Danio rerio: one gene and its partners. The protein of the gene in region 1 interacts with the protein of each later gene in a pairwise test. Links are inferred from orthologs where the notes say so. Each region holds a gene or a part of one and is shown in the gene's direction. Other genes may lie near its edges. The genes, in order: trim59, zdhhc22, nrm and vti1b.

What was found.
Region 2: the proteins of trim59 (region 1) and zdhhc22 interact in binary tests that used the Homo sapiens proteins (3 or more experiments, as listed by UniProt). The link is inferred for Danio rerio from reciprocal best matches to the Homo sapiens genes TRIM59 and ZDHHC22.
Region 3: the proteins of trim59 (region 1) and nrm interact in binary tests that used the Homo sapiens proteins (3 or more experiments, as listed by UniProt). The two-hybrid records come from large-scale screens. The link is inferred for Danio rerio from reciprocal best matches to the Homo sapiens genes TRIM59 and NRM.
Region 4: the proteins of trim59 (region 1) and vti1b interact in binary tests that used the Homo sapiens proteins (3 or more experiments, as listed by UniProt). The two-hybrid records come from large-scale screens. The link is inferred for Danio rerio from reciprocal best matches to the Homo sapiens genes TRIM59 and VTI1B.

What each region holds. Positions count from the first base shown.
Region 1 is NC_133190.1:1,612,172-1,617,686, reverse strand, and holds the end of trim59 (tripartite motif-containing protein 59), read left to right. Parts: intron 1-282; coding exon 283-909; 3' UTR 910-3,560; downstream 3,561-5,515. UniProt on the Homo sapiens protein: E3 ubiquitin ligase involved in different processes such as development and immune response. Serves as a negative regulator for innate immune signaling pathways by suppressing RLR-induced activation of IRF3/7 and NF-kappa-B via interaction with adapter ECSIT.
Region 2 is NC_133192.1:49,753,691-49,758,802, reverse strand, and holds the end of zdhhc22 (palmitoyltransferase ZDHHC22), read left to right. Parts: intron 1-96; 5' UTR 97-98; coding exon 99-654; intron 655-2,014; coding exon 2,015-2,301; 3' UTR 2,302-3,709; downstream 3,710-5,112. UniProt on the Homo sapiens protein: Palmitoyltransferase that could catalyze the addition of palmitate onto various protein substrates and be involved in a variety of cellular processes. Catalyzes the palmitoylation of KCNMA1, regulating localization of KCNMA1 to the plasma membrane.
Region 3 is NC_133194.1:976,002-982,043, forward strand, and holds nrm (nurim), read left to right. Parts: upstream 1-2,107; coding exon 2,108-2,258; intron 2,259-2,979; exon of another isoform or gene 2,980-3,052; intron 3,053-3,102; coding exon 3,103-3,296; intron 3,297-4,458; coding exon 4,459-4,635; intron 4,636-4,847; coding exon 4,848-5,153; downstream 5,154-6,042.
Region 4 is NC_133188.1:36,483,527-36,489,137, reverse strand, and holds part of vti1b (vesicle transport through interaction with t-SNAREs homolog 1B), read left to right. Parts: intron 1-1,554; coding exon 1,555-1,746; exon of another isoform or gene 1,747-3,575; intron 3,576-3,653; exon of another isoform or gene 3,654-4,692; intron 4,693-5,611. UniProt on the Homo sapiens protein: V-SNARE that mediates vesicle transport pathways through interactions with t-SNAREs on the target membrane. These interactions are proposed to mediate aspects of the specificity of vesicle trafficking and to promote fusion of the lipid bilayers.

The sequences.
Region 1 (5,515 bases):
GTTTCACTAGCTTATAGTTAAGTGGCGGCAACGAGGAAAATTCAGATTCAAAAACTCAAATTAGGTTATAAGAACTTCATTTACGAAGACTGAGGTGGCATCTGTTTTCCACTTCCATTGTTGTAGTTTTGCATGTTTTAATTGGTTTGCTTTAAGAATTAAGTTGTAGGAACTAAAAAAATTAAGTAGCGTTAACCTGAAAAAAAGTTGCACTTACTACAAAACTAAGCTACAGTAACTAGAACGAGTACATTATAACAATTATTGACCGCGTTTATGCAGGCGCTGGAGCGGGCGAATGTGCTTCTCAATCAGGCCTACGAGCCGCTGATGGAGCAGCTGAAAGGTCTGCAGGAGGAGCACAGCCAGCTGCAGATCCTGATCTCCAGCATGGAGGAGGACCAGGAGAGTCCGCTGGAGTACCTGGAGAAGGTGCATCAGCTGAGGGAGCGAATAAACACTCTGAACTGCACACCGATGCCTACTGTACCCAGCCTTCAGATGAGCCCACGAGCCGAGAGATTCATTGAAAAACACTGGACCGATGTGACCCTCAGAGATCTGAGAGACGGGCCACTTCCAGAGATCTCCTGGCACTCAGAGAGCTGCTCAACCAGCAGAGCACAGGTCTCAGATCAGACTCGCTGCTGGAGGATCTGTGTGTGTTTATGTGTGATCATGCTGCTGCTGCTGTTCTGTCTCAATAGAGGAACACACTGGCTTTCTGCTCTCCGTCAGGCTGGAGAAAACGCTCTGAGTGGACTGAGTCAGCCACTGCGTGATCTAGGCGCGCTCTTCTGTTGTGTGCTGCAGAACACTGGCAGTAAATTACAGGCATTCATCTCTACTGTAGGAGAACACACACATCAGCGGCTGCTCCGCTTCTTAAAAGAATTACACTGGTGTTAAAGCACCATGACTGCGTCTGAATCACATGCAGATGTCATTGCGCAGATGTCAAAAGCACAATGGCTGTGTTTGAAATCGCATACTATATAGTACACTAATAACAGATTGACCTACAACTAATGCGATAGGTCGTCCCAATTTCATTTATACTACTTCAAGTCATACTAAATGAATCGCACTATTCTAAAGGTCGTGTAGTAAATTCAAATGCAGTGCATACTCTAGCAGGCGATTTCAGATGCAGCCCATGAAACCGAAGTTAAGATTGTTTTTTTTTCTTCTTTAATTGTGACGTACATGCACTTGAAACTGCTTTGAAATGAGAAAAAAATGTAGCGCAGTGGATGATTTCATCATTTTGAAAATCAGTTGGATCGTTGGAAGCGTTGCTAACAAAATGAAGGAAGACGAATAGACAAAAGTAGGGCACAAACAAGACACACCCTAAATTACTGATAGCCCCACCCTAAATTGGAAAAAGTTGGAGGACCCTGGCCCTCCAGTACTGAGTTTAGACTCCTGTGGTACCTGACGACCATCGTGACCACATTAAATTTCTTTTTTCTTTTTTTCCAAGCCATATGAACAAGACCAGTTTTCTACTAATGCTGTCGTACAATTTAGAGCTGTGGAGGAATCTGTTTCTGAGATGTTTAAAGTGCAAAGCTTAATCTCACTTGAATTAAATCTGAACTTAGTTTTGAGCGACAGTCGGCACTCTAGGCTAGTGTTTAACAGCAGATGGCGCTCTAGGCTAGTGTTTAACAGCAGATGGCGCTTTAGGCTAGTGTTTAACAGCAGATGGCGCTCTAGGCTAGTGTTTAACAGCAGATGGCGCTCTAGGCTAGTGTTTAACAGCAGTGGGCGCTCTAGGCTAGTGTTTAACAGCAGATGGCGCTCTAGGCTGTGTTTAACAGCAGATGGCGCTCTAGGCTAGTGTTTAACAGCAGATGGCGCTCTAGGCTAGTGTTTAACAGCAGTGGGCGCTCTAGGCTAGTGTTTAACAGCAGATGGCGCTCTAGGCTGTGTTTAACAGCAGATGGCGCTCTAGGCTAGTGTTTAACAGCAGATGGCGCTCTAGGCTAGTGTTTAACAGCAGATGGCGCTCTGGGCTAGTGTTTAACAGCAGTGGGCGCTCTAGGCTAGTATTTAACAGCAGATGGCGCTCTAGGCTGTGTTTAACAGCAGATGGCGCTCTAGGCTAGTGTTTAACAGCAGTGGGCGCTCTAGGCTAGTGTTTAACAGCAGTGGGCGCTCTAGGCTAGTGTTTAACAGCAGTGGGCGCTCTAGGCTAGTGTTTAACAGCAGTGGGCGCTCTAGGCTAGTGTTTAACAGCAGATGGCACTTTAGGCTAGTGTTTAACAGCAGACGGCGCTCTAGGCTAGTGTTTAACAGCAGATGGCGCGCTAGGCTAGTGTTTAACAGCAGACGGCGCTCTAGGCTAGTGTTTAACAGCAGTGGGCGCTCTAGGCTAGTGTTTAACAGCAGATGGCGCTTTAGGCTAGTGTTTAACAGCAGACGGCGCTCTAGGCTAGTGTTTAACAGCAGATGGCGCGCTAGGCTAGTGTTTAACAGCAGTGAGCGCTCTAGGCTAGTGTTTAACAGCAGACGGCGCTCTAGGCTAGCGTTTGACAGCAGATGCCGCTCTAGGCAAGTGTTTGACAGCAGACGGCGCTCTAGGCTAGCGTTTGACAGCAGATGGCGCTCTAGGCTAGCGTTTAACAGCAGACGGCGCTCTAGGCTAGTGTTTAACAGCAGATGCCGCTCTAGGCTAGTGTTTAACAGCAGATGCCGCTCTAGGCTAGTGTTTAACAGCAGATGCCGCTCTAGGCTAGTGTTTAACAGCAGACTGTAATCTAGGCTAGTATTTAAAAACTAGCCTAGATCACAGTCTGCTGTTTAAAATTATTTTAGAGTGCCGCACTCTAGTTTTCAACAGCAGACGCCATTAGAGTTTTAAACATCTGCTGGTAATATCTAAGCTTGCTAATAATTTAAGAGAGAATAATGATGAATTTTGAAAATCTCAGAATTGATTTCTGGAGCGATGTTTCGCCACAGCTATAAGTACTGATACAGATCTAACCCGCAGAATGCTCGTTTTTAAAGATGTCATGACGTCTTTTTATAATATTGTAATTAATGTGTCTTAAAGCTCTCTCACCATGTTCTTTTGCACAGGAAATCATAGAAATGAATAGGAAACTAATTTTGGAAAATATATTTATTATAAAACTGTTACAGAGAAAGTATTACGAAATGAAGCACTGATTTGTATTTGCAGCCAGATCCAGTATAGCTGGCAGTGCTTCATCGTTCAACAAAAGCTTCTTTGTGCGACTGCATTACATCGGTGCACAGACTACAGAACAGTTATATAAGAGCATGACGACGGTGAAAGTCTTCGGGAGTAGCTCAGGTTGTGTCCAATCTTCTCTGATATGCTAATCTTGCTTCATTTCCATCATTATTGGGTGCTCGCACAGATGGTCACACTGATGGATTTTAATAGGGTTCTGCAGGTTTTAGAATGGTCAACTTAAGATTTTAAGACCAAGTGTAGAAATAAGTTAAACACTACACAATTTTCTAGGTATACATTTAAAGCGAGCACACAAAGAATTATATTAGCAAGACTTTAAAGGCTTGAATACAACTTTGTGAAGTTTATTAATAAATAAGTATGAGCTGCACAGTGGTGCGGTTAGTAGCACAATCACCTCACAGCGAGAAGGTCGGTGCTTTGAGTTCCGGCTGGGTCAGTTGGCATTTCTGTGTGGAGTTTGCATTAGGCATGGGATGATAACCATTTTCAAGGTATACCACGGTGTGGAAAAGTTAAGGTTTTAAAACTGCCAAAATTTTCTCTTACACCGTTCCTAAGGTACATGTAAGATTTTTCTTTTTTTAGGACGACAGTATCTCCAGCAGAAAATATCGCTAAAGATTCTGTTTAAATGATTAAGAAATCTGTGTTTGAAACTAATGAAGACAAAGCAGAAGTCAATGATTCATTATTTAGCCTGACGTTAACGTTTCAAAATATTTAAAATGTTTCTCAAAATAAAATATATTATAAAAAAAGTTGTGTTTTTTACTCAGACATTTAAAAAGAATATAATTCAGCGCAGTAATCACAATACTGTGAAACAGTGATATTTTTATCCAAGGTTATCACACCGTCAGAGTCTTATACCGTGCCTAGTTTGCATGTTCTTCCAGTGTTCACGTGGGTTTCCTTCGGGTGCTCCGGTTTCCTCCACAAGTCCAAAGACATGCGCTATAGGGGAAATGGGTATGCTAAATTGTCCATAGTGTGTGTTTGTTTGTGTGTGAATGAGTATGTACAGATGTTTCCCAGTGATGGGTTGCAGCTGGAAGGGCATTCGCATATATGTTCAAACGTATGCTGGATAAGTAGGCGGTTCATTCTGCTGTGGTGACCCCAGATTAAAGGGACTAAGCTGAAAAGAAAATGAATGAATAAGAGGATCACATGCTCTTGATTGTCCATGACTGGTCCTGCATTAGGCAACACATGATTCTGCAATCAGAGGATTCCTAACTCAACATAAACAACCAGATGCAAGTTATTCTCATTTCAGTTATGTCATCTTGAAAAATCCCCTCTTCCACTCTACTCCTCCTATTTTTGTTAGATAAGGTGGCCAGCACTGTCGCCTTACAGCTTAAACGTCCCAGCTTCAAGCCCTTACCAGGCCAGTGGACATTTCTGTGTGAAGTTTGCATGTTCTCACGTGGGTTTTCCCCCAGTTTCCTCTCACAGTCCAAAGACGTGAAACATATGTGTATTGACCAAAATAAATCGACAACATAGATATAGAAGCAGGGGAGTTCTGGAGATCTACCTGAGCTCAAACTCCCCTCTCGACCTGCAAACTGGAGGGAGCCCTGGGGTGGAGGATCTCATCTCAGGTCTCTCCCAGGACTCCCTAATATTTTATCAACTTATTGTACTTTCTATTTTTTCCCCACTTGCTCCTTTTGAGCTTCTACAAATATGAAGCACTTTCACTATTTGAAATGAAAATAAACTGCTTATTACACAAGTCTTCAAAGCCAGGAATTGTGTTTTTTTTTTGTAATACATTTCCAAGTCTCAGATGAATAAATATCAGCAGCCAGTGTGGCGTTCTTCCAGCAGCAAAACCAAAAACAAGTGCTTATTGTGGTTTATTACCGTGGATTTGAGGTCTGAAATGTAAAAACACCTAATTTAATTGTTCATTTAAAATATCCAGCTGCAGTGCAGTTAAAACACGAGAACAGTCGATAGGCTACACCTATAATTCTGTCGAATAAAAATCATTTTATTAAAAATTAAAATTAAAAAGCAGAGTAACGGGAGACATGTAAAAGGCTCACAGGAGCACAGCGATGTGAAAGCAGAACAGGTGATGGTGCATTACTGAGTCTGCGCTCATGCCGTCTGGATCTCTCGCAGGATGATGGTTTTGGGGTTGATGGCCACGTTCTTAGTGGTGTTGTGCGTTTTGTAGATGCCAATGAGCCGGTCGGCCATCTCAAACATGTTGTTCCTCAGAGAGATGATGATGAACTGGGCATTCTTGGTTTGTTCCTGCAA
Region 2 (5,112 bases), on another chromosome or scaffold:
TAGTCATTGGCACAAATTGTTGATACTGATCAACAATCATTGGATTGATGTTCTGAATAATAAAGACCTTTATTGTCTTTTTTTAATTGAACACAGGCATGTTGTTCAAGATGGGGAAACTCAAACTACTCAACACGATTGCTCCTGCATACTTCTACGCTGCAACCGTGGTCACATTCGCTCTCCACTTCCTCCTTTTCACGCCCACTATTTTCCAAAGCTCAGATGTGACTATAAATCCCGCAATGCTGGCTCACATCAGTATCTTTCTATTCCTCATGGGGAATGCGCTGGGTAATTACATCATGACTATACGGAACCCATCCGAGAGTGCCAACGAGACCGTTATCCCAGTCTGTTCACCCGACTGCCCGGACAGAATTGATGCGCACTACCTCCTGAATGGACGCCACTTCTGTAAAGTGTGCAAAAAGGTGATTCTAAAACGGGACCACCACTGCTTTTTCACTGGAAACTGTATTGGGAACAGGAACATGCGCTACTTTATTATGTTCAGCATCTATACGTCCAGCTCTTGTCTATATTCATTGGTAATAGGGGTGGCATATCTGACAATAGAGTACTCTATTTCCTTCGAGAACCCATTGACGTTCCTCACTCTTCTGCCACTCTCAACTGGTTACTTCTTCCTTGGTAAGTTTAAAGTACACATGGCATCAAAACTAACCATATGGTTTTTTTAGTTCACATTGCTAGTTTTGTGGTGAACAATTTATTTATGCATGTCATCAAGAGCAAAAAAGTGAAAATTGAAATCTGAAAATGCACTTCCTGTTTGTTTTTAGTGCAATTTTCAGATTACGTCTGTCTGAGGTATTGGGTGTGGCTAATATACTTAACCACGCCCCTTCAACTGTAAGTTTCGACAACAAACAGAAATGGCGAGGAGGAGCTGTCTGTTGGGTTGTTAATAACTCCCGAAACCTTTTTCCCGATCTCTCTGAATGAAATGGCCATTTTACTACATCCAATCAGCTCACAGTTTAAAAAACAAGCCACGCCTACTGTTTTCTCAATTAATATTCGATTTCTCTAGAAACTGAAACACAATTAAAAAAAAGGTCGCAGCCTCCAAGTAATTAAGCCATGCTTCCATTTTTTGTGCCTTATCTCACAAAGAAACTCTTAACTTACATATTTTCAGAAAAGTGGCTAATTTGTATGAATTCATATGGTTTTATATTCATATTAAAACGCAAAAAAAAATTTAAAAATGCCCATTTTTCACCTTTATTATAAGGGAGAGGGGAGTTGAGACAGGAATACAGTGTTGCCAATTGAGCAGTTTTGATTTTGACTGTGCAGGTAAAAAATGGCATTGGCGGGTTGACAAAATTTGGGCAGTTTTGAAACGTAACTTTTATATGCGACTTATATAATAAACCATAACTGTGTCCTCCTGCTCCATTCAGTTAGGTGTAACCAGTGCATAGCGCAAACATGAGACCTGATGAGACCTGGTTATGTTGTGGCAGCTGATGTTGTTTGCTGTGTGGTTAAAAATCATGACAGTTAAAGTAATTAGCTTCATTTCGATTTAAATTCATGAGAATTAAATAAGATATTAATATAATATTTTTTGTGCGTTTTGGTGGGTTTTGGACAGCTTTTGGGCTGAAAAAGTCAGCGATATTTGGCAACACTGAATACAAGGAGAGCAGAGTGAGGGGAAAGGATCAGCAAAGGACCTTGAGCCGGGAATCAATCTCAGGTCACCGCCAGCACCACAGTGCTATATGTCAGCGTACTTTGCCACTAGGCTGTTGGTGCCAACATAATTACACTTTTTAAAAGGAGCCATGTCTGCCAATCCCACTCCTAACCCTACCCCTAATTGAGGATGAGCAAATTGTACTAAAATGTACAAATGAGTATATGAATTAGCCACTAAATCAAAAAGTTTGGGATTGCCATGACATGGTGTTGGATTTTCCTGAAATGTGCTTTGCTTTGTTTATCAATGGATATGATAATACTCGTTTTCTCTCTTCAGGTTTGATTTCAGGTCTCCAGTTCTTTCTGGTGATAATGCTGTACATCTGGCTGGGTATTGGATTAGTGAGTGTTGGTTTCTGCTGTCAACAGCTTCTGCTAGTGGCCCGAGGACAGACCTGGTGTGAACTGCAGAAAGGCCAGTTGTCGGAGTGTCGTGGTACCTGGCGAGCAAACCTGACTGACGTTTTTGGTTCCCATTGGGTTCTGGGACTTTTCGTGCCGGTTCCGACTGTCGAGACTGTACCTGGAAACTGGCAGGTCTACCATGATCACAAACACGACTGAAAACTTGCCAAATCACTCTGTTTACCTTAATTTGGACCATATAAGGGCTTCAGTTCATTTGAGCAGCTTAAGCCCATCCAACAGATCTGCCTTTTTAGTGGATTTCTGTCATCACAGAGTAAATTAGGTGAGCGTTATATCACCAAGATGTGATAACATCCATATCTATGTCAATCAGCACTGTGCTGAAACCCAATTTCAGCCCTAGTTTAGGGCAGCAGTGATTAGAAGCAGCAATGATAGAGGAGGTCAGGATTAAAGCATGGATGAGTTTAAACAGTATTTACAAAACATACATATTAGGTAATCAGAACACATCAACAGTGGCCTGCTAAAATGTGGGTGACTGTTAGATTTGTTTAAACTTGATTTGAATTTGATTATATGCTACAAGAACTTGAATTACAATATAAATTGGTATTTAATTAATTATATGTGAATTTTAAATACTTTGTGGAAAATTATGCCGGTTTTCATCCACATATTTGATTTTGATGCAAATTATATACACTTAAAAAGTCAAACTTATGACTATATAACTATACTATATGACTATATACATAGTATAACCTTCTACTATTGCTTTTATTTCTTTTGAATCTTGTCAAGCCAGCAAGAAAGTAAACCCTTCTTTAAAAGATTGGGTCAGTTATACAAGGAAGGTTTACACAACTATTATTGACTAAAATTTTAAGACGTTTTTTGCGTTTTGGCAATTTTGATTTTTTTTTATACAATAGCAGCTTTTAAAAGTAAAAACACAATCTAATAGAGCCTCTTTATAAAGAGGCATAGCCACTTTACTGGACTGGGATGTGTAATACAGCTACAAAATATTACTATTTGAGACAAATGATGTTCTTCAGAACTTTATATTGCTGAAAGAACACAAAGGTTCCACAAATATATCAAGCACAACATAGAAACATTTAAAATCAATTTCAGATCGCATTACTGCTACATAAATTCTTCTTATTGAAGCCTTGTTGAGCATAAACAGTACTGTATTGTATGACAAGAGTTGCAGTTCTATTTAAATATCACTTACTGTGTGTGAACATCAATACATTTGAATGTCTTTTCTATCTAACATTCTCATGTCTGCGTCCTGTTTGCTACCTCAAGTCAAATTCAGTTTAAATGAGCAAAATTAGTTACCGAACCAGAATAAAACATTGGTATAATAGGTCATTTTGAATAGGTATTTCTGAATAGCTCACACACAGACCAATGTCCTTTATGTGTGACATTTTGTAACGGGTAAGATTAATTTAAAGTGTAACAATGCATACTTGGCTAGATGCAATTCTACAGTTAGGTACTAGATTGTTAGTAGATTATGTTACTATATTTTATTAAATGATTATTTCCTATCAATCAAATGGCAGATACAGTGCATCCGGAAAGTATTCATAGCGCTTGAGTTTTTCCACATTTTTTTATGTTGCAGCCTTATTCCAAAATAGAGTAAATTATTTCCTCACAATTCTACACACAATACCCCATAATGACAATGTGAAAAATGTTTTTGAAATTGTTGCAAATTTATTAAAATAAAAAACAAAAAACCTGAAAAATCACATGTACATCAGTATTCACAGCCTTTGTTGTGAAGCTCTAAATTGAGCTCAGGTACATTCTGCTTCCAATGATCAATCTTGAGATGTTTCAGCAGCTTAATTGGAGTTCACCTGTGGTAAATTAAGTTGATTGGACATGATTTGAAAAGGCATACATCTGTCTATATAAGGTCCCAGGGTTGACCGTGCATGTCAAAGCACAAACCAAGCATGAAGACAAAGGAATTGTCTGTAGACCTCCTAGACAGGATTGTCTTAAGGCACAAGGCTGGGGAAGGTTACAGAAAAGTTTCTGCTGCTCTGAAAGTTCCAATGAGCACTGTGACCTCCATCATTCATAAGTGGAAGATGTTTGGAACCACCTGGACTCTTTCTAGAGCTGGCCGGCCATCTAAGCTGAGTGATCGGGGCGAAGGGCCTTAGTCAGGGAGGTGATCAATAACCCAATGGTCACTCTGTCAGAGCTCCAGCGTTCTTCTGTGGAGAGGAGAAACTTACAGAAGGACAACCATCTGTGCAGCAATCCACCAATCAGGGCTGTATGGTAGAGTGGCCAGACGGAAGCCTCTACCGCCTGGAATTTGCCAAAAGGCATCAAAAGGACTCTTAGACTATAAGAAACAAAATTCTCTGGGCTGATGAGACTAAAATTGAACTCTTTGGAGTGAATCCCAGGCGGTACGTTTGGAGAAAACCACCCACCGCTCATCACCAGGCTAATACCATCCGTACAGTGAAGCATGGTGGTGACAACATCATGCTGTGGGGATGTTTTTCAGCAGCAGGAACTGGTAGACTATTCAGGATAGAAGGAAAGATGAATGCAGCAATGTACAGAGGCATCCTGAATGAAAACCTGCTTCAGAGTGCTCTTTACCTCAGACTGGAGGGATGGTTCATCTTCCAGCAGGACAATGACCCAAAGCACACCGCCAAAATATTAATGGAGTGGCCATCCAACCTGATAGAGCTTGTTTCCACTAATCATGCAAAGAGGAATGGGCAGAAATTCCCAAAGACAGGTGTGCCAAGCTTGTGGCATCATATTTAAAATGACTTGAGGCTGTAATTGCTCCCAAAGGTGCATCAACAAAGTGTTGAGCAAAGGCTGTGGATACTTATGTACATGTGAGTTTTCAGGTTTTTTATTTTTAATAAATTTGCAACAACTGTCATAATGGGGTATAGTGTGTAGAATTTTGAGGAAATAAATAAATTTAATCCATTTTAG
Region 3 (6,042 bases), on another chromosome or scaffold:
AAAAGACAGTGGCTTTTAATTTGTGTTTCACATATGGCATGTTTTGACTGCATCTGTATTTAATTTAACACATTATTATTGGCAAATGTGTCACTTGTGTGGACATCATGTTGGATTAATCATGTGAACTTTTTACATTTTTCTCAGTTTAGATTTTCACGAACTAAAAACTGATCTTTTAGCCTGTATTTACAGATAAAGTGTGACAAAACTTCATTAAACATTATTTGTAGTGCATAATTCAGTGGCTGAAGATTAAAATGTTACATTTACTTATTTACCTGTAGAGACAATTAATGTCTTAAGACTTGACAGGCTCTATTTGTATATTGAATATATATATATATATATATATATATATATATATATATATATATATATATATATATATATATATATATATATATATATATATATATATACACACATACAGGATATATGGGAAGAAAAACATTTGAAATATTGTAAAAAAAAAAACTTTTCTTTGCTCTGTCAAACATCACCTGAAAATAACTACAATATATGAGCTATATATATATTTTTTTATCTAAGAACTGCATTATGTCCAATTAAATATTCATGTAAAATTTAGCTTTTGATTAATAATTGATTGCTTATTAAATATTTTTTCAAATTTGGAAATGAAATAATCTGTATGCAAACTCTGTAATGCACTGTTTTTGTGTGGTTGTAATAAAGCTTTACTCACTGTTGCACTTTATCTAATTTAAAAAGTAAGCTGTTTTATGCATTCTATAGTTTCTTTTATCACTTGGCTGTTCAAGTCCAGGGTTTTGAATTGACTCCCTTAGTAGTGTATGGTGCTCCTGAAATAAAATGTTATGTTGCTGATGTTCTGTTTCTAATGTTTGTAAAGCAAACAAAATCTCAGTATCTTGTAATACTGAACAAATACAGATCAATTCAACAGCCAACCAGAGTAAAACTGGTAGAGGTAATACTCTCATATTGGATTAATTTTGGGAATGGAAAAACTTGAAAAATACTTACGAATAATACTGAAGTTACTTTATTTTTTCACCCAAGCTGGCCTGCTCATATACTCTTTACTTTAGTAATATTATCAGCTTTTACCTGAGTAAAATAATCAGTAATTTTTCCAGCTGTGATCAAACCATATGCATATGTATGTATATTTTGCAATATCAGCCTTTGGAAGAGTTTTCTCGTGTCAAATTCTTGCCACAACCACATTTGTCTCCTTAATATTGAATTTCCTGTATTCTTTGTAAATCTGCTTCAGCATTTGTAATAAAAATGTTAAGAATAAAAATTGTCATAAACATTTTCTTGTTTTCTTGACAGGGTTTTTGTTTTTAATCGGATCTCAGTGTAAGGCACTAGCTGCAACTTGTGCAAACAAAAATCTTGCTGGATTATAACAATTATGGTAAAAAATTGTGTTCGGAAAGGATATTTCTTACCAATTACAGCAATAATAACCAACCTGAATTAAAACCAAAAACGTACCGGCTTAAAGTACAGCATTTGTCATCATCCCTTTAATCTACCTAATCTGTGCTAAAGTGCAGATAAAATAAGTTAGAGCTATGCAAGCGTAACTACAGGAAACATCTAACTTTGTAGTCTTCTGATTGCAATCTGCACATCGCGTGTACCACAGACACTGGGAATTCACAAAGATTAAATCATCATTATATAACTATGTATGTATCTACACTGTAAAAAAGTGATTAGTTCCTATACTTTAAAAAAGTGAGTACACCCGTTGTCAGAATTCAGCCCTTAAACATTGTTTACAGAAAGCAATGGTAAAATGTGACAGTCATACTGTATTTAGTTTAAATCCAGCCTTTAACAATCTTTACCAACAAGCCACTAACTGTTGCATAATTTTTGCACAGTGTTTGCAGAAACCATCTCCTATTTACTTGTGGAAGGGAGAAGGGGAGACATGCCACTCTGAAGTGTGATCATGAGGCCAGTGAGATTTCCAATATCCGTTACATTAGACAGTGTTTAAATTGGAAACCGTGCAACACTCCACCATGCGGTAACCACGCGTCACTGCAGCCGCCCCTTCCGGAAGTATCGTTGCTGTCGGTTTGAAAATATAAATATTGTCATGGCGTCGGTAACTTTTCGCGACGGGTTTCTCTGCGTTTCTGCTTTAATTACCTTCGTGTTCGTATTTGTTACCGGCGCAGATTTTGTCCGTTTTGTGTCGTTTCGTGCCATCAATCATAACCTGAGCGGAGCCGCGCCTCTGTGTCGAGGTGAGATCCAGAAAACAGCCAAACTGACATACAAGTTACTGACAGAGTTTACAGAGAAACTAGACATGCTGTAAATAAACGCATGCACACTTACATTATTATTATTATTAATAGAGAGATTTTCATTCAGAATGGTCTTAAATGTGTGTTACAATAACATATTTTGAGTAGTTTAACTGTTTAGTTTGTTCGTACATTAGATTACAGCAAAGTTCTATAGTCTTTGGATTAGTTGGATCGAATTTTTAAAAACAAATAAGATTAATTACAGGCATATTTACAGCTTACTGAGTTTGATCTTTAATATGCAGTTATTAAACTTTTATTTTGTTACTTTGCATATAAACGTTAACATGTCGTATGAAGTCTTGATAAAATAACGTAATAAACTTGATCTAACGACTAAAGTTAAATTAATTGTAGATATAATAAACTTAATTATTATTTAGTAGTTTTAATTTGCAGTAAATTAGTTTGTGAAACGTTCCTGTCAATCGTGTTTAATATAACTTTAATGTAAAAGCGTCGTAAGAAGTTACGCTAATGTTAGCTTACAGTTTGAACTGACTAATAACAGTAAACAGATTAATTATAGATTTGAATAATTACTTTTTGAGTATTATTTAGTGTTTTAGCAATATAAAGCATTTATACGTTGATAACTTGAAATTTGTTTCTCTATCCCTCAAATGACCACTTATTCCTTGTGTGTGTACGAAGCGCCCGGCTAGCTCAGTCGGTAGAGCATGAGACTCTTAATCTCAGGGTCGTGGGTTCGAGCCCCACGTTGGGCGCAAAGTTTTTCATAGTGTTTTCTGTGTGTATCTGTATTATTTTCTTCCAGACTCTGTGCCCTGGTCTGTGGCTCTGCGGGATGGGGTGGTTCAGAAGGCAGTGGCTGTGGATGTTCTCCTTCTGGTCGTCTTCAGCCTCCAGCACAGTCTGCTGGCCTGGACTCCAGTGAAGAGAGTCTGTCAGAGTGTGTTTGGGGTTTTGAGCAGATCTGTGTATTGTTTCACCACCGCCGCTGCACTGCAGGTAATTCTGCATATGCATTATTTAAACATTTATAAGTAATTATTTGAGAGATGCTTTAATATAGAAGTAAATGTAAAGTGGTATGTAAGAATATTTTTTAAGGCAATGCTTTGCCTTTTACAGTTGTTATGTAGATATTTTATTGAATTAAAATTATATTAAATTATAAATGAGTAATTATATAACATTTGTGGAGTTATAATTTCAGAAATGAACTAGAAAAATGTACATACAATAAAAGCGAAGTTTCTTCTTAAACACCTGAATTAATACTGTGAACAGAATAATAAAAATATGTCTAAAATAATTTTATATAAAATTAATTATTTATTATTTATTTAATTTTATTCACTGTAGTATGTCACTTGGATGTGTTATTAATTTACAAATTATATTTATTTATGCTAGTTTCTCTAATTTCAAATTATTTCTTCTAAAATTATTTAGAGATTATTTATAAAACTATATTTAAAAGAATTCCAACCTTTTTTTAATTGCACAATTGTAGTATTACTTACCTTTTATTAAATTAAAAGCATGCATTGATTTTAAATAATAGATTACATGTGATTTAAAATAATGTATTTTGTTTAATTTATTTACTTGATTAATAAATAAATTTATAATTTAATAATTATAATTAACAAGAAATAGATTTAAACTGTTTTATGCACATTCATTATAGTGATTATTTATTTAAAATAAACATTTAAAACTATTCCAACCATTTTTATTGTTACAATTTTAGTATTGTTTATCTTTTATTAATATAAAAAGCACGCATTTATTTTAAATAATAAATTAAATATTAAAATGTATGTATTTTCTTTCATTTATTAAATTATTCAATTAATTAATAAATTAAAAATGTATTATTTAAAATTTGATCTTTGTTTTATTATAAAATGTAATTAAATCCAAAATCATAACATTAAGATAAAATTTAATCTTACATTTTTTTTTCTTCTTTTTTACATTTATAACTTTTTCATAAATCTCCAACAAGACTTTGCAGCCCCAAATCAAAACAAATCTGACACTGTGATCCCTAATTAGCCCTTATAATCAAATACCTCTGCTACCACTCATCATTTAAACTCACATATCCTGCATGTAAATTAGTCAGTGCTATATTCTGCTCATACTGTAATCTTGTGTTCAGATATTAATGCACTATTGGCGCCCGGTCACCAGCGCCCCCTGCCTGTGGTCAGTGAGCAGTGCACCATGGGAAATCTGGTTCCCGCTCATCTGTTTTATAGTACACTTCTTGTGCTGGGCTATAATCTGCAGCATCCTGCTCATCTTTGACTATCCAGAGCTACTGGGCATCAAACAGGTACACATGCACTGACAATCCAGACATTTACAAGCACAAAACACTCCAGTTAAAGCGTCTAATTTCATTTATATTTATTTATCAGGTTTGGACAGACATTTATTTATTATATTTATCTTTATCATGGTTTGTGTAAATGGGCCTTAAGACTAACATACTGATACTAACATCTATAAAACACCTTTAAAAGTGTGTGTGTGTGTGTTTCTCAGGTGTATTATGAGTGTTTGGGTCTGGGTGACCCTCTGCTGCTGAAGTCTGAGCGTGCGCAGCGTCTGTACTCTCACCTCCGTCATCCAGTGTGTGTGGAGCTGCTGACGGTGCTGTGGCTCCTGCCCTCCTTCCCGCTGGACCGACTCCTGCTGGCCGTGTTCCTGACCGTGTATCTGATCCTGGCGCACTCGCTGGACAAGCAGGACTGCGCTTACCTTCGGCACCAGCTGCGCAACAAACTGCAGCTCTTCTCCACACCACTAGAGGGCAGCGAGCAGACAAATGACAACAATAAACTAGAGTGAACGCTGGGTTTATAGGAGTCAGTAATGCTTTTACGTCAGTATGTAAGTCATACGGTGTCTGCAATTGCATACTTCTCTACTATGGTCAGTGAAAAACAATATCGCTGCATCCAAATTTGCTAACTATCCATCCTAAATAGTAATCGAAAATAGAGTTAGTGTGTCCCAAATCATATTATGTTTAAATGCATATTGAAAAGTTACCTGGATGCTCTACTATTTCTGGTAGATATTGAAAGTGCATATCCATGCTAACGTTAACTGTTAATATTGCCGTTAATTCGATACCGTTTTCCAAAGTTGGCTGGTTTACTTTTTCTAGTAGAAATTCGAAGTGCGAATCTCTGCTAATGCTAATGGCTAATATTTCCGTTGCACGGACCCACACTTCAAATAAAAAAACATTTATTTTATATTATGATAAAACTTCGAAGTGCAGATACGTGCTAACGCTAATGGCTAATATTGATGTTAATACATTTATTTTATACCGTTAATTTGATTCGATCTACAAATGTAGGTAAAACCGTTTTTTAAACTACAAACATGGCGGTCATGCAGAATCGAAAGTCTTACAGTGTGTTTAAAATCTCAATTTTATCTACTATAGTATGTGAAAAACAATATCGCTGTGTCCAAATTTGCATAATATCTTTGCTAAATATTATTTGAAAATAGAATAAGTCCAAAATCATAGTATGTTGAAATTAGTTTTCCCAAAACTACACGAATGCTCTACTATTTCCAGTAGAAATTCAAAGTGCATATCTGTGCTAACGCTAATGGCTAATATTGCCGTTGATTTGATACCGTAAATTTAATTAGAACTACAAATGTAGGTAAAAACTGTTATCAAACTACAAACATGGCGGATAAGCAAGATCAAAAG
Region 4 (5,611 bases), on another chromosome or scaffold:
ACAGAGAAAACATTATCAGCAGCAGTATATCCCGATATGCCATACAATGTTTATTAGAATACTAGAATAGAAATTAAATTGATGTCAGTTGAAGGTTGGCAGCTCATTCCAGCAAAAAGGAGCAGAGATTATGAAGGGTGATGGTTTTGGTGAGCAATATTGATTCTTCTGAAAGTTTTGATGATCTATATTGCAAGTGGTTGTGTTTGGACAGTTTACGACAGCAGGTGGCAGTATTGCTTCACAAAATTGCCCTTGTTAGGACACAAAGTGCTGAGATACTGTAGTAGGCCTAGCTGTACTGTGTTATATAATGTATAGCATTAGCTTTACTTAAATTATTAACGCTAAAATAAAACTTTTATACAACAAGAATGTTTTAAATTGATCAAAATTATCTGTAATAACAGATATAGTGCTGCAAAGGATAAAAAACATTCTGTGTATATATATATATATATATATATATATATATATATATATATATATATATATATATATATATATATATATAAATGTTTGTATGTATGTATATATAATAAATAATCTGAGCAAATCAGCATGTTAATGTGTTTTCTGAATAAATGAGTAAGTTGACACAATATAAATGTTTGTTCTTTGCATTTCACACATCCATAAATGTTACAAGGGATTTTTTGTTTAAAATAAAGTTTTTTTTTCTGTTTATATAAATATGTTTTTATGTTATGTTAATCTGCTCAAATCACATATTGGAATGATTTGTAAATTCTGTCTGATAATTTCACATGGCATCGTGAAGAAATCATGTAGTAAATGCAGTTTGAGCAGAACATAAGTAAATTATGTTTTAAAATATTAGAAAATAGAAAACAATAATTTTAACCCTCCTGTTGACTCATGGGTCAAAATGACCCGGGCACCCAGACACCGTTTTAACAGCAAAAAAGAAATAAACAATTTCTTTATCTTAAAGTTTGATTGCTTCTAAAATTTCCCCAACATTTGAAAAAATTCATCATTTTCATATTGTTATAAAGGCTGTACACATTTAGGGTACAACAGTTGTCTTTTGGGTAAATTTTATATAGATGGCCAACTATAATGCCAAAACATTTTAATTCTAAAACATTTTACACTTATGCAGGTACTTTAGATATAGAAAATATGCCCTTTACTTTAGCCAAGAATGAGTTGTCCTGATTAAACATTGATAAATGTTTACAGAGTTTGTGATGAAGATGAGATTGTTTCTTAATGCACAACAGATATGAGGATTAAAATTATTTTCACAGCTTTATTTTAAAGGTTATACAACAGTGCACGCCGGTGTATACAAAGTTCTAAGACAACAGCAGAGGAAAAAGTTTAAGCATATTTCACAGTATTACTTTTTTTAGAGGATTGTTGATTAAATGAATGCAGCCTTGATGAGCATATGACAATTCTTTAAAAAATATTTTGAGAAGTCGCCAAACTTTTGCATGATATTATGTGTAAAAACACAGGAACAGAAACAGTGACTGTCTGCCGCCTTCTCTGAGTTTATCATTAAACATGTAAAACCTCTCTCAGCTTCAGGGTATGGAGCAGGAGCTGTTTGGTGCTCCATCATCCTTCCGAACCCCCATGTCAACAAAGATTCGACTGTACCGACGAGATCTAGCCAAACTGCAGAGAGATATTCGGCTATCAGCAACACCAGGGCTTACAGGTCAGCTCGGGGACAGCAGACTTGGTGTTTATGCCTCACAGAATGACCAGAGTGTAAGTATATCTCATCACTCTCTTAAAAGAGGCCGTTCAGGTTTTTCTCACTCTCATGTGTTTTGAACTGGTCCAATAGTTATATTTATGTTTTCTGTGAAACCATGTTTCATGGAAAGAGAAAGGTCACTGAGGTTATGCAGATTAAGACAGAATTTCTGCTTTCTTTGATGAATTACCCCAGACATCAGCTGAGATCATGGTTGAAATGTGTGTTATTGAGAACAGAGAACTATTCATTTTATGATAAAAATCAGTGTTACTGATGATAAATTTATTAAACCATCCTTATTTAGGTTTAGACAGGAATGTGTTGTTGTGTTTAGAAAGGTATTGTTAAATGAAAGCTTTACTCCTCATTGATGATGTGCACATCACTTGAACAGTAATTATGGAGAATTTCTACATCTTTCCAGCTGGATCTAGATTTTCTTCAGGCTAGAACTGGCTAGAACCGCTCCACTGTACCCCTCATGTGTATTCCTACAGGAAGTTCCATAACAATGAGTATGTTTTGAGTACTACAGATCTCTATCTCTTCTGTGTACTGTTTAATGACACACCTTGCTGGCATTCCAGAGGTGTTACGTGATTCTCAGTACACCACTCACCTCCGGCTACATGTAGTGCTGATTTGAAAAAGTTCAATGAATTTAACTACTTGTTACCTAAGTTTGTTAATAATATGGCAACAGGACAAACCCCTCAGGGCTTGAAAGCTGAGCGCATATAGTGTGCAGTTCTCAAAACTTGATGCTGATCATTGTTTTTGGTTGCCTGGTTATTCATAAATGATTGACAAAAAAAAGATGAAAAAGAAGCTCAGGGTATTAGGATTTATATGACTTAATCCAAGTGCTGGTCATGTAATTAGATTATCTTCAAAAAGTTGATTTATTTCACTAATTCCATTCAAGAAGCAAAACTTTTATATTACTGCAGCATTACGGCGTGGCATGGAGTTGATAAGTCTGTGGCACTGCTCAAGTGTTATGAGAGCCCAGGTTGCTCTGATAGTGGCCCTCAGATCTTCTGCATAGTTTGGTTTGGCACATTGCATCTTCCTTTTTACAATACCCCATTGGTAGTCCCATATGGTATCTGCGCGTGCAGAATTCAGCAGATTTTTAGCCCGTCATTAAATCTGTTTATTTACTTGAGTAAATCTAAGTTTATTCAGTTTTTAAATTAATTACAGTAATATTGTTGACTAATATGAAAATGTTCATCTGATTTACGTACAGTGCAGTTTGTAATGTAATATTTTCTATCTTTTAGTAGATATATTATATGAAAGACTTACCTTGTTTACCAAATAAAGTGAATCTGATTGGATTTGCATTTTAAAAATTAAATAAAAGTTAAAAAGGTATTATTATAATCACATATTAAGGTTTTAGTCATTATACTCCCAAAATAATCCAGCAGAAATCCGCAGATTTTTTACCAAAATTCTCTGCAGAAATAGCAAAAAAATGTCTGCAGATTCTGTCTGGCCCTACCTATTGGTTTTCTATGGGATTAAGGTAGGGTGAGTTTGCTGTCCAATTAAGAACAGGTGCTTAAAGCAGTGCTGGTTGCTTTGGCACTGTGTGCAGGTGCCAAGTCCTGTTGGAAAATCACTCAGCAGCAGTCCAGACTTTAGCTCAGACGAGACACTTCTGATGCTGTCTGTTGCTCAAAAGAAACAAGGAATGTGACAGCTGACACCCATGTCTTGCACACGTCTGTGCGTAGTGGTTCTTGAAGCACTGACTCCAGCTGCAGTCCACTCTTTGTGAATCTCCTCCACATTTTTGAATGAGTTTTGTTACTCAACTCTCCAGGATGTAGTTATCCCTAATGCTTGTAATCTTCTACCACATCTTTTTTTCCCTTTACCTCTCTGGTAATGTGCCTGGACCCAGAGCTCTGTGAACAGCCAGCCTCTTATGCAATGACCTTTTGTGCCTTGTGCAAGGTGATAGTGGTCATTTTTTGGCAAACTGTGTAATCAGCCGTCTTCCACATGATTGTGTAGCCTACAAAACTAAACGGAGAGACCATTTAAAGGTCTTTGCAGGTGTTTTGAGTTAATTAGCTGATTAGAATGTGGCACCAGGTGTCTTCAATACTGAACCTTTTCACCATATTCAAATTTTCTGAGATACTGAATTTAGGGTTTTCATAAGTTGTCATTAAATTAAAAGAATTGCTTGAAATATATCAGTCTGTGTGGAATGAATGTATACAATATACAACTTTTACTTCTTGAGTGGAATTACTGAAATCAACTTTTTGAAGATATTCTGAATGTAGACCAGCACCTGTATAACATGAAGGGTAAGAGTGTGCTTTGTATGAGATCAGGTAGTGAGCTGCTGTGCATGTTGCTGTTTTTACCACAACACAACTTGGAAAATAAAATCTAGACAGACAGATAGATAAATGGATGGATGGTCAGACGGATGTGCAGATGAATGGGCAGACAGACAGACAGGCAGAGATAAAGACAAAGTGATCACTTTGCAAGGCTTTTGGTTGTGCTTTTCAATTGAAGAATACCAAAAGAAGTGAATTAAGGCTTTTCTGCTGTTCATCATTCCCAAAAGAAGTTTGAATGTTCAAAAAGATGTTTGAAATCAATACTAAGAAAATACAGGGAGAAGAAACGCTAGATGTTAAACTGTACACTTACTGATTCGTCAAGTATCTCTTTAAGACTATGCTTGTATCCATCGCCATCTTTAAGCTCTTCCTCTAGCCGTTGTCTACTGAAAGCCTCAAAGACATCAGGGATGAAGTGGAAAGTGCAAAGGCACTAAGTTTTATTTGTGCAAAGGTATTGTCCTGTTCTTTTCTCATCTTTCGCAGTGAAGACCTAAATAATTCTCTCGCTGCTCTTTTTGTGAAAATTAAAAGCTGCACAATGTGGCATTGTACCAGTACCTTTTTCAGCTGTGTTGCAAAAAAATAAAAAAATAAATAAAAATCAACCATTACGCACTCAGAGGTCCCCCTAGGCCAAAATTAATGTTTTTTTTTTTTCAAATAGCAAATCTTTCATGGGTTTTCAACTGCATATTTCAGTAACAGACATTATTTTCAATAAATTGATCCATGCAGTTTTGCACACAAATTTAAAAAATCTGTCTTCCTTTACTCACCCTTTACTTGCTCCAGACCTGTTTGATTTCTGCTTCTTATTTTCTTCTGTTAAATCAATGGTTACGTGTTTTAGCTTGCTTCTAAATAACTTCTTTAGTGTTCAACAGAATAAACAAACTCATAAAGTTTTGGAACCACTTCAGGGGGAGTAAATAAAGAGTTTTTTATTTTGGGGTGAATTATCACTTTAATACCTGGGGTTGTTTTCAAGTAGTTAGACAGTTTTTATTTTATGAGCTACCTGTAATCATAAACAGATCCTTCCAGTTTTTCAACGCATATGTACCCACACCCACACACATGTATGTAAACTGGTATGTGATGAAAGTTTAATTCCCTGCATCTATACAAACACAGATGCCTGTTACACTGCAGTGGAGTGATTTATTTTTCTGTTGCGGATGCAGAAGTTGGCCTTAAGCAAGGTCATGCTGTGTGTCCCAAGAGACCTGTTTCTGATCTCAATGAAACTGAGGAAGTGAGGTCAGCAATTGTTTCTTTCGAGAGGTCATCACAGTTTTTGTTTTTTTTTTAAATTACAATCAAAATGGTAAAAGTGGGCAATAGTTACCTTTCACTCAGCATGTGCTTATGCTATCTATCTATCTATCTATCTATCTATCTATCTATCTATCTATCTATCTATCTATCTATCTATCTATCTATCTGTCTGTCTGTCTGTCTGTCTGTCTGTCTGTCTGTCTGTCTGTCTGTCTGT